Linked DNA regions of Xenopus tropicalis. The protein of the gene in region 1 interacts with the protein of each later gene in a pairwise test. Links are inferred from orthologs where the notes say so. Each region holds a gene or a part of one and is shown in the gene's direction. Other genes may lie near its edges.

Evidence for each region.
Region 2: the proteins of oprm1 (region 1) and gja4 interact in binary tests that used the Homo sapiens proteins (3 or more experiments, as listed by UniProt). The link is inferred for Xenopus tropicalis from reciprocal best matches to the Homo sapiens genes OPRM1 and GJA4.

The regions. Positions count from the first base shown.
Region 1 is NC_030681.2:43,492,264-43,495,763, forward strand, and holds part of oprm1 (mu-type opioid receptor), read left to right. Parts: intron 1-3,245; coding exon 3,246-3,500. UniProt on the Homo sapiens protein: Receptor for endogenous opioids such as beta-endorphin and endomorphin. Receptor for natural and synthetic opioids including morphine, heroin, DAMGO, fentanyl, etorphine, buprenorphin and methadone.
Region 2 is NC_030678.2:89,193,550-89,197,585, forward strand, and holds the start of gja4 (gap junction alpha-4 protein), read left to right. Parts: upstream 1-1,236; 5' UTR 1,237-1,317; intron 1,318-4,036. UniProt on the Homo sapiens protein: One gap junction consists of a cluster of closely packed pairs of transmembrane channels, the connexons, through which materials of low MW diffuse from one cell to a neighboring cell.

The DNA.
Region 1 (3,500 bases):
ATATTATATGGTAAGGTAAGGTAAAGACAATGGAACTCTAAGGTGACTTCTAATATTGAAATAGACATTACACATCCTTTAAGAATTTGAATCAAGTCACTTAATTATTTACATTTTTAACAAATCAAACAAAAACCTTTAAAGTTTCTCTGCAAATCTATTACTCTACTGCTCACATATGTATGAATATATGCATTATAGGTATTAATATATGCATTATAAGTAGCAACAGACTAGAAATGGCAATTCAGTACAGTCCAATGAGATTATATACATAAAAATATTACATGTAAATATAATGCTTTGATGTAAAGCTAGGTTTCACTAGAACTGAAATCATATTTTTACAGAAATGAATTCCAGTTTTCCCCTTTACAAACACTTGTGCTATGTCTTATAAACTTATACAAACACTACAGTGTGTTTTTTAAGTCTGAAATAAGGAGTGCTATTTATAGCATGCGCTAAAAATCTTATCACTTCTTATTTTTCGCTCGATTCACTAAAAGGACACTTGTCATAATTAAGAAGCGATGTTCTTGGCGTTATTTATCTTACAATGACATATTTTAATGAAAAAAACTATGCAATAAGCGTTATAGGGGCCGATTCACTAAAGGTCAATAACGCTTATCGCATAGTTTTTTTCATTAAAAAGCATGCGATAATTAAGTACCGATTCATCAAAGTCATTTCACATGTGTTAATCCGCATATCGCATGCACAAAAAAAACGCATTGCGTTAATTAGCGAAAAGAAATAGTACTAATGCATGATTCACAAACACATATGAAGCGTTAAACGTGCAAAATATCGTGTTAATCTGTGTGAATATTAACCCTACTTGGGGCAGGCGCTACTTAAAGAAAATTGCGGTTCGTGAGCTATTGGCAACACAACATGGAGTTTGCAGTCATATTTTTTCAAGTATATGTTGGCCCTAGAGTGATGCATCCTCCAGTTTTCAGGGAAATGGTGGTTTTCAGAAAGTAATGGTTACGTGCGTAATATATTGCGCTCTGCAAGTGTCCTTTTAGTGAATCGAGTGAAAAATAAGAAGTGATAAGATTTTTAACGCATGCTATAAATAGCACTCCTTATTTCGGACTTTAGTGAATCGGGCCCTATATGTCTAATTTGCAAAGAAGAAACTTTCACAGAGCAGGGTGTTTTATGCCACAATATGCAGGTATGGTTTTGTGCAAAACAGAATGGCATATGCATATTTATTGTTTTATTTATAACACCGCTTTTAAAAAAAGCCAGCCTTATAAGACAGGTGATAAATTTACAAGTTGCCCTGCTGATATCTGGTCAGCTCAGAAGCTCAGAATGGCTTTATCATAAGCACCTGATTACTGGTGGGACTATCATGTCCATTGCTTTTGGTAACTAACCTGAATTCCTAGTAGCCGGCCCCAGTCATGAGAGGGTTATCGATTACTAAAATGTGCAACATATAGTTGAGTCCCTTAATTGGCAGATACATCCTTCTAGGTCATAAAGCACTTTCTCTATTCCTCAGGCTCTATTAATGGTAAAATACAGTCTATAAGGTACAAAATAACCACTCCATAGTTTTTCTCTTCCTCTAGCAACACTCCGGACTACAGTATCTTGTTTATTATAATAAGGTTTCAAGATACCAAATCCCAGTGTTAAATAATAGTTTTCATTCCACAAATTGATGTCTGCAACCAACTAAAATTTCAGCAAGAAATTATAAATATAAATAGATTGCGTGACTGTCTACCAATTCATACACATTATAAAAATATAAAATGTAATTGGCCACTCAAATTTATCTACTAAAATTCATTTCAGAATTCCTTAGCAAGAAATCAAGCCTTCAAACAATTCCAGAAAATCAATAAGCAGTGCTAGTGCAGTCAGCAGCCCCAATTATTCACAATACCAGTTGAAACAGCAGCCGTAGTATTTTTAAAATGCCAGTGCAGTCAAGCTGCAGTGAGTTATAGTTCAGCAACCTCTCATTGTAAATGCAATCAAGTAGAGGTTAGTTACAGTTCAGCAACCCTTCATAACTTGTGTGATATCAAAATAATAGCAATAATTGATAGAGGTGAAAAAATATTGATGAAAAATGGGCAGTCAATTTATCAGTTTCATAGGGGATACTATCCAAATGAGTATAACATGAACTGTAGTGGCACCCACCCACATTAGAGGTAAGTGTGGACAGATCTCACCGAACCAGCCACTTACCCGCTTCACCCCTTATCGCCCCATCCACTTTGATAATTATATCAAAATAATTATATCAAAATATATCAAAATAATTATATCAACAATAATTATATCAATAATCAATAACTTATATTATTTTGATATAATTATTTGATTGACTTTACTGTTATTATTGTTTTTTATACTTATTTTGTAAAATTAAGAGGTTTGCTATGAACATTTCCACTCGATTTAATTTTCCCATTTTTCCTTTATACAATTAGTGATGGGTGTGGTTTTGTTATGTCCATCATTGTTTTGTCACTATTGACTGCCTATGATTAAGTGCGCAAACGCACAAAACGCATCCGGCGTACTGATTTTAAATGGAATAATAAAGATCGAGTTTTAGCGAACCTTCTGTGTCAGGTGTGTTTGGAGCTTCTTTGCCTAAACACACTGTGTTCCACTTGTGTGCGTTCTACCAACAGGAAGTAATAAGGCCAAAACGGCTCCAAATCTTATTAAGCAATGTATCTGTATTATTGCTGTAAACATGGTCTTCAGATTGTTGTTTGCTACACGTTTCACTTATAAAAGCTTCATCAGTCTTATTTATACAGTTTGTTTGCTTCTTATAACTTTCATTATACCCCCCCCCAAAAAAAGCTTTATTGTGAATGTTGTTTTGTCATGCAACAGTGTAGGCTCCATTTTCACCCAGTATATTGGTCATATATTGTTGCATCATTAGGATTAATTATTTTATCTTTCACTAAGTCATATAGCCCATAATTAATCAGGACTATTTGTTGGATTAACCAAGATACTTAGGGGTAATGTAATAAAAAGTCCAATATTTATACCAGCGCTAGTGACCCATAAGAACCAATCTGCAGGTAGAAGAAATCTGGTTGGTTATTGCAACTTACTAGACCTGAAGCAAACATTGCACCCGTAACCAGATTGTCTTTTTAAATAAATCACTGTATTAATTATAAATTATGAATAATATTGGCTTAATGCATTAAGGTTTTTATATTTGTATTCTCTTTTAGGTACACGAAAATGAAGACTGCAACCAACATCTACATTTTTAATCTTGCCCTAGCTGATGCCCTCGCAACGAGCACCCTCCCTTTTCAAAGTGTAAATTATTTGATGGGAACGTGGCCATTTGGCAATATTGTGTGCAAAATAGTCATATCAATAGATTATTATAACATGTTTACAAGCATTTTTACTTTGACCACTATGAGTGTTGATCGCTACATAGCTGTTTGCCATCCCGTGAAAGCACTAGACTTCAGAAC
Region 2 (4,036 bases), on another chromosome or scaffold:
ATTGTACATGCTGAAGGAGGGGGTATGGGTGCTGGTCCAACCGGTGTGGGGAGGTAGGAAGGGTTAAAAGTTGTACAGGTATGGGACCTGTTATCCAGAATGCTCGGGACCTGGGGTTTTCTGGATAAGGGATCTTTCCGTAATTTGGATCTCCATAACTTAAAGCTGGCCACACATGTGGCGATCTTTCCAACCCTCCCCTGACGTTCAGGGCTGAATCATCAGATATGGAGGTAGAAACAATAGGATTTCTACTTCTTTCTGCTGATTCAGCCCTGAACATAAATTTTGCTCGGGCGCCTTCAATGGCACCCGATCAAAATCTTCTAACCTGCCCGATCGGCGAGTCGACCGATATCAGCAGCTCCTGCAATATCGGTTGCCTTGCCGAGTTGCCATACACGCACTGAATGAGGTACGAGGTTTCATACGATATTATTGGTGCGTGTATGGCCAGCATAAGTCTGCTAAAAATCATTTAAATATTGAATAAACCCAATAGGATTATTGTTGCTGCCTCCAATAAGGATTAATTATCTCTTAGTTGGGATCAGATATATGGTACTGTTTTATTATTACAGAGAAAAAGGAAATCATTTTTAAAAATTCGAATTATTGGCTTATAATGGAGTCTATGGGAGATGGCCTTTCCATAATTCTGAACTTTCTGGATAACGGGTTTCCGGATAAGTGATCCCACACCTGTAGTTCAGAAACTCTGGGTGGTGCAATACTTTTATGAAAGGTTTATGTCCATTTTTTTTAAAAAATAGGATATATTCCACATATTTGGTCAGATTAACAGCAGTAAATAAAATTTTACAACCACATGAAAAATCAAGAAACATTACAAATAAACGCAAGTTGCTGGGCCGCACTAATTCAGAGATGAGGTTTTACATGATCTGATAACCTTATAAATGTAAAAGTCATTTTCTGTTGATATTTACTGTATGTAAAATTTTGTGTCTTAAAAAAACGAGGAAGATCTGCATCCATCTATGATAAGTATTACTGTACACAGCTCAATATTCTGGCACTAAACAAGTTAAATATTTCTCCAAGCCAAGCACACCCCCAATATCCTGCACCTCCCATAGTCCGCCCCATTGTTTCCTCTTTCCCCCGTGGGATATTTTTGAAAAGGCAAAGGGCAACATCTGAATGCCTCTCTTATCACACAGCTCTTGGCACATACGGAATTTATATGGCTCTACCAGCGAAGACTGGCATTACAGCTAGCTCTGCACACTGTTCTTGGGCATGCCAATGCAGGTGGGGTGCCTATAGCTAGAAGCTCCACTTTGATCATTGTTGGTGAGTATTTAATTTACAGTCTGTTCCTAGAAATGTATTGCCACAAGAACTGTACTTGTCCCATCTCTAATGTCCACAGTACAGTGTACAATATTACTGGTTATAATCATGCCAGAACACACATAGGGGTTTTATAGAGAGGCATCTACAGTATTCATAATAATAATACTATTGAAATGTCCTTTGTGATACACAACAGAACCAGACAGTGGTAACGCTCACCAAAAGAGCTAAACATTTAAAAATGAATGTGAAAACACTACACTGATAATAGCTGTATAAAACTGCTCAAGCAAAAAAATACAATATTCAGTATAAAATTGAAGGCAAGCACTTATTTGATATGATGGGAATCTTTGAAGGTGTTGCGCTGCCACAGCATTATTTACAGCTCCTTGTGGCTTTGGATCTTTGGTGTCTACACAGCAAAATTAGGGACAATTCTTTAAGCTATATAATTACAAAGGGTGACATCACCAGGATGCCGTTAGCAGCTTTAAAGTAGTAAAGGTATAGGACCTGTTATCCAGAATGCTCGGGATCTGGGGCTTTCTGGATAAGGGATCTTTCCGTAATTTGGATCTCCATACCTTGTCTACTAAAAAATCATTTAAACATCATTTAAACCCAATAGAATTGTTTTTCCTCCAAATATATTTTAGTTGGATCAAGTACAAGGTTCTGTTTTATTATTACAGAGAAAAAGGAAATCATTTTTAAAAATTACAATTATTTGCTTATAATGGAGTCTATGGCCTTTCCGTAATTCGTAAGAACTATCTGGATAACGGGTTTCCGGATAAGGGATTCTATACCTGTACATCCATATCTCTTATCAAAGCACAACAACAAGAAATAATTGACTATGTTATACTTTTCTAATGTGGATTAAGTGCTGAAAGTCTTTTTAAGAGCTGCCTTACATAAGGATTGTGGAAAATGGAAAGTAATTGACCTTTTCATCATGATTCACACACTGATCACCTTCAGTTAGAAAGAAAAGGATCTGTGAGTGGATTAAATCCTGTACGTGATGCTCAGAAATGACCCAGAGCAGTCAAGGTATTCATGAAGTTTCCCATTCTCCATAAGTGGAACTGATCCATAACCATCCTACCTATAGTCGTGATCAAAGTGCCTAGAGCATCCTGAAAAGGATATGTTTTGTTTTATAGCACAGACCAAAACTCTTTTAATGGTTGTATATATATATATATATTGAAGCTAAAATACAAAATATCTAGTTAAAATTGTAAATGTTCAATATGCAGTATACAAGTTAAACAAGTAAGACACCATAATGTGAAACCTAAAGGTAAAGTAATTCAAAATAAGGAAACTTAAGAAACAATGGCAGAATGATTTAAGAAATAATAATAGATAATAATAGACAATAAAGCTCATTTACATTCGCAAGTGCAGTGAGTAAAGTTCAATGTCGAGGGCAGTTGCCATGTTGCCACAATACAACAATTTTTATCCCAGAATTCCAGTATTGTTGTGGACGCAAATAAGCAATGCAATTGCCATAGCATCTGATTTGACAAAATGGACACAACTGAATGAGCGTTTGTCACAAATCAGGAGCAGTTGTGCCAAATATTTTCTAAATCTGCTTGGCGTCATTTCTGGTGTTCAGCCACCTCCAAAAGAATAAATCATATAATATAAATGGAATCCACCGGAGAGCTCCTGTTTGTGAAAACAAGTGTAGAACTTTATTTAGAGATGCATAGCACTACATGTTTCGGACCACATGCACCAGAGGAAGGACCCATGTGGTCTGAAACATGTAGTGCTATGCATCTCTAAATAAAGTTCTACACTTGTTTGAACAAATGGGAGCTCTCTGGTGGATTTCATTTATATTATATAAATTGATGAAGTCAGCTGCTGAAAGTCACACTAAGGAAAGTTGCAAATAAACATAGAGTGATACATATAGTCAGTCTATATGTCTGCAGAAAGCTTATCTGTACACCCACTGGTCTCTCAGTAAAGTAATCCCTAGCATTACTCTTGAACTTCTAATATTTACACTCCAGCATATGGCCCCTTGTTGTTGCAATTGCATTCTTCTAATTGAAAGTTTAGTTGCCTAATTAACATTGTTGGGCTCTTATTTGTATAAGAATTTAACACCCTTGAGGTTTCCTATCCTGTTTAAATGTATCATGTCCTTAAATATATTGGGGGCACATACAGTCCTGGTTGCAGTTATAGAGGCTCTGCTCTACGCTATCTTCCAACACCAGAGCCTAGATAACAGAACCTAACTATATTAAACTCAGTATTAGTCTCCTGTTTGGCCTTGGTTGCACTCACACCATGACTTCAACTAATAAAAAGAAATGTATCATACTCAATGTAAATTTAGTAAAATTATAGTATAACAGTGCCAAAGTACAATTATTTATGCAGTAAATTTGCATTATGTACATACAAAAGGTCTGAGATTAAAGGTGGCCATACACGCACCGATATTATCGTACGAAACCTCGTTTCGTACGATAATCAGTGCGTGTATGGTATGTCAGCGAGCCGACCGATGTCGCAGGAAGCTGCTGAAATCGGTCGGCTCGTCGATCGGCCAGGTTAGAAAATTTTGATCGGGCGCCATAGAAGGCGCCTGACCAAAATTCTCCCTTCAGAGCTGAATCGGCAGAAGGAGGTAGAAATCCTATTGTTTCTACCTCCTTACCTGCCAATTCAGCCCTGA